Linked DNA regions of Nothobranchius furzeri. The protein of the gene in region 1 purifies or fractionates together with the protein of each later gene. This does not show direct contact. Links are inferred from orthologs where the notes say so. Each region holds a gene or a part of one and is shown on either strand. Other genes may lie near its edges.

Region 1 (6,056 bases):
AGTTTCTACCTGCCTGTTTGAGTCCATATATAGCTTTGTTTAGCTGTGCCGTTCTGGTGTGGGGAGTAAGGGGCTGAAGTTTCATGTTTTATCCTATTCTCCCTGAGTAGTTTCTGGTACTCTCCACATGTAAACTCAGTTCCATTATCTGAACGTATACACTTTATGATACCATATGGTGCGGTGTCAGCAAGGAATTTCTCTGTTGCTTGAACTGTATCACTTTTGTGTTTGAGAAAATACACAAATATTGCACCGGAAAAGTCGTCAGTGAATGAAACAGCATACCTAAATCCCTCTTTTGTTTCTGGACTTATTGGCCCTGCCAGATCTGTATGCACGAGTTCCAAAACAGTCTTAGCTTTAGCATCCAGCTCTCTATTTCTTGTCTGACAAAATTTACCTTTTATACAGACTTCACAGTCTCTTTCTGTTCCAACAGTTTTATCCTTGATGTCCATCCCATCTACTACTCCCTGCAGTTTCTTAATGTCATCAAAATTGCAGTGTCCCATTATCTCATGCCATGTTTTCAGGTCATAAGAAGCATTACATTGGTCTGTTTGTTTTCTACTCACAGTTCGTAGATAGAATAGTCTGTTGTACTCCTTGATGGGGAATCTCGTTCCATCAGAATGTCTCAGTACATTATTACCTCGCTTGAAGATGACCGTTGCTCCATTGGTAGTAGCTGCCTTCACAGAGAAAATGTCTTGTGGATATGAAGGGATGTATAGTGCTCTCTTTAGCACCACCTTGTGTTGGACCCCTCTGCTGTCGATCAAGGTTACCACAGCCTCTCCTCTCCGTTCAGCCACTCCTCTGCTCCGGGTTCCGTCTGCCAGCTCGATGTAATGCGACCTCGGCTCGAAGTCCTCGTCGAACCTCCTGAACCTCTCTGGATCCGTGATAATGTGGGACGTTGCTCCTGTGTCCACCATCAGATTCCTGGTTCTGGTTTCGTCCATCTCGCCGTCAGCGTCTTGTAGTCGGAATGCGTATTCCTTTCCCTCGTAGTCATCAGCAGCTTTCCGTGCTTCATCATCTCTGTGTTTCTTTCTGCACACTTCAGTCTGGTGCGTGGTGGTCTTGCAATGCCTACACCACTTTTTGCGGTCACATACATTAGCTTTGTGTCCCTTTTTACCGCATTTAAAACAAATAAAGTCTTTACTATCAGCGCTCCGCTCGTGCATGCTTGGTTGAACATATTTCGGCTTCAGGTGCTTGACCCTCTCATTCATCCGTGCTGCCATCACATTGTCCTCTGTGGCAGTGTCCACACGCAGTTTTTCAGTTTCTTCATAACTTCTCAGTTTACTTTTAAATTCTGAAAAAGTCATGTCATCATCACTTTGTGTCACATGGATTCTAAAAGGCGTAAATGAGTCAGGTAGACCTTTTAAAACCATTGCTATTAGCAGTCCATCGCTCAAAGTTTCACCTGCGGTTCTCAGCGCTGTAATGGCGGCCTCGGCTCTCAAAACATAATCCGTTACACTCTCGCCGCTCTTCTGCTGTAATGCAGTCAGTTCTGTATATAAGCTTATTATGCGGGGTTTTCCCTTCCCGGCATAGTGTTCTCTCAAGATAATTAGAGCTTTCCGCCCGTCGTCAGCTGCGTCTCTCATCACCAGTGAAAGGCTCTTATCATCCAGGAATTGTATAAGTTCGGCATATGCCTCTGCGTTCTTTGAATCATATTCCTCATCATCGTCATCGTCTTTCGGTTTTAATATAATGTCTTTCAAACCTTGTAGCCGGAGGTGTCCGAGAAACTTTGTTTCCCACAGTTCATATTTATCCTCGTCTCCGTCAAATACCAGTCTTGACCAGCGGGTACTGGCTTCCACTGTCTTCCGACTCATAGTGTCCGACACACGTCGTAGCTCTCACTCGACTCACCGGACTTGCTGTTGGTCGGTTCTGTGCTCCTCACACGCTAGCAGGATGCTTTCCCAGCTGTCCTGATTAGCTTGGTGCGCAGCGGAAGCGTGCTGGGCCCATAACCTGTTAGCAGAGTTTCGTTTACCCAGCGGTTGGTCCAAGACTCCAAAATGAATCTCCAGGATTAAAAAAAGGAGGAAATAAATCCATAAACAGAGCGTCTGTTTCACGGGCCTTCACTGGTGGTAGCACACACTGATTGCGGCCACTAAAACACCAATGCTCCCTTTTATTGGTCAATTTACGAGGTCAAAGTTTAACTTCCTCTACAGGTACTTTTCAGTATAAAAGCATACATGTATATACACACACACACATTCTTATTTACAAATTTACACAGATGCATAACATAACAGAGCATAACAGAGCACATTAGACTGATGCTTAACAATTATTTCACAAAATTGATCCATTTGAGGCTTTTTTATTGGATGAAATCATAATGGAGGAAATGTATTGTCTGAGCTCTTGAAAACAAACAAACTTTTCAACATGGCATTTAGCTTACATTATTATAATATTAATGTGTTTTTTTAATCTCAATGTCATTTCTGAGGAACCCAAATAACACATTTCTCCATTATAACTTGAAGTCCGGATTAATGTTTATACAATTATTTACCCAAAACTGATTAACAAACAGACAATTAAAAAAAGAATGTACAAAGAAACAGCAGTCCGTTATGAAAGTTTTAACCGGATAAGGACATTTTCGACAGTGTTAGTGATTAACATTGTTTCGGTAAGAGAGACATTTTTCATTATAAAATTCACTTTTGGGATTTCTGCAGTTTTGCGTGATGACGTTTCCCCTCGTGTCGATTGAGACGTAGACTTGTATGACGTAGCACCAAGACGTGATTAGCAAGGGGCTAGTGTTGGTACGACGTCTGAAAACAGCCTGAATTGTGAAAAGGATCTATTTTACTCAATGTCTGAGTAAGTATATCAGTCAGCTGTTATATCTTGAGCAGTGCAGCTGACTGTAAACAGCTATTGGTGTGTGAAGTTGTCTCTAACGGAGGTCAGTCTGGTTAGCTTATAGCTAATGTCCAAAGGAAACCAACGACAGCGTAGCCGCTAGCTGGGCTAGCTAACGTTACATATTCAGAAATCGTGACAGTCAAACTGTGCTGCTGTACTTTGTAAACCATTAAGATATTTTTCTCTTTGACGCATGTTTACGTTATTAAAAATCAAGTTTTTACGATTTAGTTTAAAGTGTTATTATATGCGTGAAGATAACATTGAGAAACCTCGATGCTCAGCTAAGTTTTGTGCTCCTTGCTCTGAAATATGATGGAAACATGTTGATCTCAAAGCTGTTTCTTTTCATTTTTTGGAATCATTCATTTGTTAACCAGGACAGTAGATAAATATGTTTATTGTAAAATCACGTTGAAAAGTCAGCCTGAGGATGTGAATATGTATGAAAATGGCTACGCTCAATTTAAAGTTCAAATTCTTTATCCTCCAAAAAAACTGTCGGTATGGTAAATTTTTTTAGAAAGTACTTAATCTCAGATTTCAGCTAGTTAAACTCATTTGAGTACATTGTGTATACGTGATATGGGATTTAATGTTCTTGCATATGTGGTTTACAATCATCAGACTAAAAGTTTTTTTTTAAATGCAATAATTTTTTCCTTTTTATTCAGGCAGGGTCTGTGTCTTTTTAGGCAGGCAGAGCATTTCTGCCAGATGTGAGGAATCGAGGAGCTGAATGGAAATATTTGAGGCAGTTTGTGTTTGAGGTAAACAAGATGTTCTAACCAGAACTGTAAATTATTATTTTGACAAAATGTCAATCATTTTTTGATAGTAATTATTCATAGATAGTGTAAAAAACCCTTCTCATCTTAGTTTTAGCCAGGTTTGTTTCACAGTACTGGTATTTAGTAGCGTAGCAAGTGTATAAATGTAAATGTAAAAAAACAACCACACACACATATATACAAACAGTGAGCTAAAGAATTAGTTACTGTACTATATTACATTATCTTTCTGAGCACTCCTTTTCTATGGCCGTCTCCAAGTTTAGGTCCTTCACCACCACCCTTACCCATGGTGTCCCACAAGGTTCTCTGCTCTTCCTCCTCTATCTGCTTCCTCTTCAGCACATCCTGAGCTCCTTCAAAGGAATATCCTACCATCTTTATGCAGATGACATCCAACTGTACATCTCCTTTAAGCCCCATGAGATGTCTAAGCTGCAGCTGTTACACACCTGCTTAGACTCTATCAAAACCTGGATGGCTGGGAGCTTTCTTCAGCTGAATGAAGATAAGACTGAGATCCTCATCTGTGCCCCAGACAAGCTGGTTCCCAAAGTCAGAGACTCTCTTGGTCAGCTTGCTTCCCACACCAAACCTTCTGTCAGGAATCTTGGCGTGACCTTTGACCCAGCTCTCACCCTGGATTCTCATGTCATTTCTCTTGTTTGCTCTTCCTTCTTCCATCTCAGGAACGTTGCTAAGCTGAGTCCCATTCTGTCCCGCTCTGAACTTGAGACAGTTCTCCACTCCTTCATCTCCTCATGCTTAGACTACTGTAACTCTCTTTTCACGTGTCTGAGCAGAACCTCCCTGAACCGTCTACAGGTGGTTCGGAATGCCTGTGCTCGGCTTCTGACCAAGTCCTCCAAACACACCCACATCACTCCGCTTCTCCTCCAGCTTCACTGGCTGCCAGTCAACTTCAGGGTTCATTTCAAGATCCTGGTTCTGGTCTATAGGGCCTTACATGGACAAGCACCATCTTACATTGGTGATCTTCTTAGTCCCTACACCCCCAGCAGGTCCCTGAGGTCCGGTGATCAAAGCCTACTGGTTGTGCAGCACCAGACTAAAGACCAAAGGTGACAGATCATTTGCTGCTGTGGCCCCCAGACTCTGGAACTCTCTCCCCCTGAGCCTGAGATCAGTGGACTCAGTGGTCTCCTTTAAAAAGCAGCTGAAGACTCACCTGTTCAAGCTGGCTTTTGTATGACCTTCTTCACCTCTCTCTTTTTGTTCTGCTCTCCCCACCTATTCCACCTTCCTCAGGATCCACTGATTTCCCTCTTTCCTGTTCACTCTCTCTCTTTCTTAACATTTTTTAATTACAATTGCCCATTTTTTTTGCTCATTTAAAATATATTTTTAACCATTTTCTAAATTCTTTTTTATATTTTTTCATTTTTTGTTTTTGTGAAGCGCCTCGTGATTTTTATCTTGAGAAGCGCTATCGAAATGATATTTTCTTCCTCTTCATAATAAACAACATGATGAAACATGTCACCTTCTTGTGTTGAAATCTGTGTAAAATACTTTCGGTTTGGGGGGGGGGGGTGAGATTAAATAATTCAGCATCTCAGAAGCCCTTTTACAATACACACCGCCTTAATCTTATAAAAAGGACACGATTGCACCACATTACCGCCACAGTCTGACCACTTATGAACAACCTAAGGCTCCCTGATGCTGCCACGGCATTGCGGCAAATTAATGGCATTGTTTTGTAAAAATGGCTAGAGTGATAATAGAAACATTTGCTCATCAGGTTGCAGTACAAGCATTGCCAAGTATCTCCATTTCTGCTTTCTGAAAGGCATCTGGGTCATCCATTACAATACGATTTGGGACAATCACATTCCTCCTTTACATTATTTTGTTGACAAAGAAATTTTTAATTACATTAAAACAGCTAATATACCTACTATGTGTAGGTGGTTTATATTTAATCTTTTTTAAATTGTGTTGTTCAGGAGGTTGTAGGTTGTGTACCATGGGGTACGACGTTACGAGGTTCCAGGGTGAGGTAGATGAAGACCTGCTGTGTCCAATATGTAGTGGAGTGCTTGAAGAACCAGTCCAGGTAAGTCAACCACATGTATAAATAATAAAATCTGCTCGTGTTCAGATCGTTATATAGTTTGGTCCCAAGTATGAAATCTGTTCTACCAAAGTTTGTTGTTGCACATCCTAATTATACTTTTTTTTTTGGGTTTGTTTTAATTTTAGGCTCCACATTGTGAACATGCATTCTGTAACGCCTGTATAACACAGTGGTTTGCCCAGCAGCAGATTTGTCCTGTTGACCGCACAGTGGTCACTCTTGCTCACCTCCGG
Region 2 (6,001 bases), about 2.5 Mb from region 1:
ACACTAAAGAATTGTGGGAAAAATGGGTCAAATGAAAAGAAAATCAGACTAAATATTGCCCAAGGACTTAGAGGTACTCTGACACCTCAGTATGTTGTTTAGATTATGATTACAGGACCAGGTGTTCCCACAGCTGCAACATCACTTGACTGCACATCCTGTGCTCCAAAAGGTAGCTCTAAGTGAGGTCCTATATTCAGTCTTCACCCCTCTATAGGTGGCAAGAGGAAATACTTTGTCATTTTTATTCCTTTCGTTTAATAGGTCGGACAAGAATGAAGAAACACACATTAGAGAAATTGCAGCTTAAAAACCAAATGATGAGGAGGAACAATCACAATATTCTGTTCACAGCTCATCAGTCTCTCTCCTAATCAATCTGTGACAATTACTGGCTTGTCTGGCCAATGACAGCAAGTGCTTCAGGACATGCTCCTTATTGAGTCCTTCCTTAATCAATCCGTCTGACTGTAAGCTTGACCAATGGATTCATCTAGATTTCATTTCACCCCTTGCTGCCAAACTGAGGGACATGAAACACTTTCTATGTCAGAAACTGATGATGGTCCCACTGCGTTGAAGAGAAAGAATGAAATGTAAAGATTTTCTCAATTGAAAATATAACAAGCTGTTTTCTTTGTTTTTCTGAGGCTAGGAGTGTGTTTGCTAGTCTGAATTAGCTCTAAAAATTTGAAAAGGGGGGAAAAATACCTTGAACTTTAACAGAAATGCATTAATTGGATATTGGATGTGATAAGTCCACATATTTTTTAGCTCTTTATGCTTGATGTTCTATTAACAGCAAAATATCAGAGGTTCTCTAACTTTTATAATCAGTAATAGTTTTGTCTATTGGGCTTTGTTTATAATTTGCTTATTTTTACTTATTTCAGTTGCAAATTGGGGAATTCCAATGTGTTAATTGGATGAACCATAACATAACCATAACATGACAAAATACAAATATGTTGCAGTGATAAATTATTGAAAAATGTGGGAAAAAATAAAGACAAATGGATGAAATATCGAATCTTACGAGAAAAATGAATTATATTTTTCTTCAGTTGTTTGGAGCACAGGTCAAAGACAGAAACAGGTCTTTGTGCTGACATCGCGTTTTGACGCAGACGCCACTGAGCTGGCACCAATAATAAACAGCTGCGGTTCCTCACAGGTGATACCAAATGAAAGACTTACTTTGAGGTAATCATTCTCAGACCTGAGCTCCTCTATCTCCCTGAGGTACTCCTCATACATGCCGTCCGTAAACTCCTCCGTGAGGTCTGAGAACGCCAGGGATGTGCTGGCGGGCACCCTGCTGTCAAACGAGGTCACCGAGCGCTCCTCGCCGGGTGAAGTGCTCCCCTCAGCGGTGTCGATGCCCGGATTAGGTCGGTTCTTATCGTGTCTCTCTGCGGCGGAGCAGGTGGTCTTGGTAGCGGCTTGTGAAGCAGCTCTGTCCCCGAGCGGCTTCTCTCCGTCCGGGCCGCGGCTGCTCCTGGACTCGGCGTCGCTGCTCCCAGCATCCGCCGACAGCTTGTTCTCCTCGGAGGCGCAGTCCGACAACTCGGAGCTGCTGTCGGTCGGGGAGAGCTTCCCGGCGGCGCATCCGGAGTCCTTGGATAAATCATCGGATCCAGTGCTGGCGTCCGACACCTTTCTCCGCGCGCTGGTGCTTTTAGCCGTCTTGGATGCCGGGGACTTGGACACGCTTCCGCCGGAGAGAGATGACTTGCCTCCCGTTTTACCACCACATTTCTCCGCTTTTCCTTCCATCCCAGCGAGGCTCCCCACCGGGCTGCGTCTGGAAACGCGGCTACCCAGATGGATGGCTCCGGGCTTGACGCTCAGGGTCGGGGTCCCAATCCCTCCGCGGATCTTTGTAAACGACCAGCCGGGCACGTCCTTCGGTCTAGCCGGGGATGGCGCACGGTTACTCTTTTTCTTCTCGCCAGTCTTCGGAGCGGGAAGCCCGGGAGCCTCGGACCGGGGCGGCTGACCGGGCACCGCGTGCTGCGCCTGGCCGCTGTCCGAGCTCTCCGTCCCGCCTCCGCTTTCCATCTTCTGCCGGAGATGGAGTCTCCGTTGTTTGGGCGAGGCGAAGAAGTGAGTCGCAGAGTTATGGACATCAACCTCCTTTGTTTTTGTCATTCATTCCGTTTAGAGCGACAGAGAGGCGGAAACAAACCCTCTCTGTTCGCTGAAACAGGAGGCAGAAGTTGAAGAGAAATAAAACAACTGCAGAGCAACACAAAGGAGATTCACTCCTCACAGAGCTGCAGCACGACAGGAGGAGTCGGAAAGGGCAGGATCCAGAATCTGCAAAAACGCAAATGATCATCCAAAGATAAACACGTTTAGAAACGACACCACTTTGTTGTCTTCCCCTCCTCCCCTTTAGAGATTCTTTGCCAGTGAAGAGAACCGGTTCCTGCTCCGAGAGTTGGTGGGTGAGAACAGGGAAGCAGTGTGATCACTGTCTCTCTCCTCCTCCCTCCCCCAGATAATAATGGGATGGACGAAACTGGAGCTCTCTATCGCCACCACTGCGAAGTAAACAAGCTCGTTTTCTCTCCTCATTATTAGATTAGCCATTCAAATAAAAGTGCCTGTAAACAAGATGGTTTTGGAGGCAACAGATCAGATCTGTTGAAGTGTATGAAAATGTAGACAATGAGTGTTTCAGCTGTTGTAGATGGCTCTTTGAAGGGCCTCAGTGTGGATAAACAGAGATCGGGCTGGCAAACCTTTCCAAAGAATGCATTAATGTCGTCTAAAGCCTGAGTCATGCGTCTGCATCAGTGTGGAGACACGCAACACCATTAATCCGTCCTTGCAGGCTTGCTGGAGAGATCGGTCAGTCGAGATGGAGAATGCAAGCTTGTGATTGGTCAGGGCACCGCTGTCGTTTACACCACCGCGCCATTGCGCCCTCAAAAATATAAAGAGAGCCGAGGATAACTAGCGGCAGACACCGAGAAGATTGAAGAATACCTCGCGAAAAAACATTAAAAATATGAGCGTTTAATTCCCCCATGACTGGAGGAGTGAAAAGATACGCAGCAGGCGTTTAATTTGTGGACGGAAATGACAGGAAACGTGGGTTTAGAGGTGGCGAGCCCATGAAGAGGTGGAGGAGAATGAGAGACAAATTTGTCCATGTTAAAAAGCCTCTTATATTAAAAAAAACACAATATAAACACACTATCTTGGACCAACACATGACAGGATACCACAGAACAGCGATATGCCCTCTGTTGTCCTGGCAGGGAATTGCTTTGCAACACTCCCCAGGAGATGGCGAAGTATGAGGGCAAAACGTCTCCATCCGTGCGTGCGTGTCTCTCCCTTTTGGAGCTGACGGAGAAGCATGACTCGGGCTTTACCCTAACACCCTTAAAGCGTATTGGACCATTTTCCACCAGCCACAATGCCTGTTGTTTTGGATGCGTCCCAGTCCCAGAAATGTAGTATTGCATCGTTCTGCTAAATGTACACTTCAGATATATTTTTCATGCACTAGGCTTCCAGAACGCATCAAGCTCAGCAGTTTAGAGCATCAACATTTAGCCTGATTGCATTGAGATCAAACAACTGACATGGGACAGAATGTACCCCATTTCACAGCTTCTCTGTTGCTTTTGTTGTCTTCAGGTTGGCGTCTATCTACTGAAGCCACTTTCAATCAGAATATAGCTTTGTTAGCCAGAATACACACATTTCCTCCTGATAATTCAGTTTTTGATCACTTAATCATTACCATTGACCAACAGGCTAATGAGAACTGACCAATTCTTGCAATGCGAACCCTAAACCTGCTCAAAGCCCTCGATCAAACAGATGATTGGATTCTGCAATTGGCTGTTAAACACAATTTTAGGATCCTGCTCTAAAGCTTCAAAATCAGGACGGAAGTGAGTAAACAAGCCGATGGCACCTTGAGACCTTATTTCACCCCACTCTTGACAAATTTCTCAATTTAAATCCAGAAAGAAGCACCCAACCAGCTAATCTGCACACAGTGAGCATATTTCACTAATTATGGGTGAGGAATACTCTGACGAGCCTCACTTTGACGTTCCGTCTGGGTAATGAAGTGTGATACTGTCTGTTCTACTTTCCTCTTCCAAAAAAAAAAAAAAAACAACATAAAGTTGCTGTCTTTGCAAGTTACCCAGAGTCCAGTAATTGGAAGTCAGTCGCTGCAGCATGTGGAGGTGGTTATAAAGCTGAGATAGACACATCAGCAGTGCTGCTTTTTTCTGCCTGCCTACATCAGGCCTTCTATTAGAATTAATTGTAAAAATAATAATGGATTAGATTTATTTATTTGTAACGCTCTTTTTACTGGTCTCAGCAAAACCTCCCTCTCACGCCTTCAAGCCATCCAAAATGCAGCAGCCAGACTCCTAACCAAATCCAGCAGACGAGCTCACATCACTCAAGTTTTACAGTCCCTCCACTGGCTCCCGGTAGAATATAGAATACAGTTTAAAGTTTTAGTCCTGACCTATAGAGCTCTTAACAACCAGGCTCCTACCTATCTGAGCTTTTATCCCCACACACCACCTCTCGGAACCTCCGATCCACATCTGAAAACCTCCTGGCTGTTCCTCGGACCAGACTAAAAACCAAAGGGGACAGGGCCTTTCAGTCTATTGCCCCCAGACTTTGGAACAGTCTACCTTCAAATCTCCGTCTCTCTAACACTGTAGAGATCTTTAAAAATCATCTAAAAACTCACCTTTTCATCCAGGCGTTCCCTCCCTAAATGTTTCAAAAAGATGGCTTTGTTCGGGTTCACCTTCACTTTGTTTATTCTCATGATTTTATTTTCTACTTTATCACTGCTATTGTTTTTTGGATGTTTTTATTGGTTAGAGGTATTTGCCCTGATCTTTATCATGTTGTACAGCGCTTTGTGATTTATATCTGTGAAAGGCGCTCTATAAATAAACTTTTACTTACTTACTTAGCGCACTTCAGCACTCAAAGCATTTTCCATTATTCATACACACATTCACACACTTCCAGTGATGGTAAGCTGTACCACAGCCACCGTGGAGCGATCGGACCCACCGGACCCTCTGACCACCACAAACACAGGCAGGTTGGGTGATGATGTGTCACAACAGCAGAGTACACTGGTGGGAGGTGGGATCAGTCCTGCTACCTCCAGAGCTTCTGCTGCCCCAAACTGTTATGAGCTCTTACAATTTAGTTACCACAAGTTTTATTATAACTGTTAAATTTAACTAAATCTCTGTAAGAATACCAAAAGTGTTACAAATCTCTGCTCTTCATGTTTTGTTCCCCGTGAGAACCGGAGGGGGAAATTGTTGTCCTCGTGTGGCCTGTTGTGTCTTGAAAAAAATGTTTCACCTTGCTCTCCTTCCCTGAAGGCTATAGTAGCATAAACATCAGACCCAAACTGCTGATTGTGCTTTCTCCCATAAGCTTGTGCAGTACAGAACAGAACTAAAGGACTGAAAGTCTTTAGATGGGCTACTGTGTTGATTTAATGATGATCTAAGCTTTGATGAACCCCATTAGGAGCTGAAAGTCTGTTATTTAGACTAAACTTCATCATGAATGCCAGCTGTCTGATTAAAAAACATAAATTCACCAGCAGGCAGTTTCATTAGATGTTTTTATACTTAACCACTCTTGTAAACAGAAACTGACATATAGCCATAATATAAAATTTCAAACAGTATAAATAAAAAATAATACAAAGTTGAAGCTTTTAGGGTACAGATAAATAAAATATTTGTTTAGCAGATCAAATTTTAAAATGCATGTGAACCTAGACCTGCATAAGAGATCTATTTGAAGTCTTTTACCTCCACCTAGTGTTGAGCTGCAATACTACAGATGGGGAACAAGGAGGAATAAAATAATTCTGCATATTTGAATATTTGCATAATAAATAAAAGTGATTTGCTTAATCAGATATAATTTTGTGTTTAGAGGCAACTTTCAAGCTTGTTAATTTATCAGT

Evidence for each region. Proteins that work in one complex are often made in the same cells at the same time.
Region 2: the proteins of rnf41 (region 1) and mtcl2 purify together in Homo sapiens (affinity purification with mass spectrometry; 3 studies listed by BioGRID and IntAct, with this or other methods). This does not show direct contact. The link is inferred for Nothobranchius furzeri from reciprocal best matches to the Homo sapiens genes RNF41 and MTCL2.

Annotation. Positions count from the first base shown.
Region 1 is NC_091755.1:37,149,032-37,155,087, reverse strand, and holds the start of rnf41 (E3 ubiquitin-protein ligase NRDP1), read left to right. Parts: upstream 1-2,761; 5' UTR 2,762-2,886; intron 2,887-3,605; 5' UTR 3,606-3,701; intron 3,702-5,692; 5' UTR 5,693-5,712; coding exon 5,713-5,802; intron 5,803-5,948; coding exon 5,949-6,056. Other genes in the region: uncharacterized protein, read right to left, coding at 579-1,868. UniProt on the Homo sapiens protein: Acts as E3 ubiquitin-protein ligase and regulates the degradation of target proteins. Polyubiquitinates MYD88. Negatively regulates MYD88-dependent production of pro-inflammatory cytokines.
Region 2 is NC_091755.1:34,603,390-34,609,390, reverse strand, and holds the start of mtcl2 (microtubule cross-linking factor 2), read right to left. Parts: upstream 3,478-6,001; 5' UTR 2,152-3,477; coding exon 1,198-2,151; intron 1-1,197. UniProt on the Homo sapiens protein: Microtubule-associated factor that enables integration of the centrosomal and Golgi-associated microtubules on the Golgi membrane, supporting directional migration. Preferentially acts on the perinuclear microtubules accumulated around the Golgi.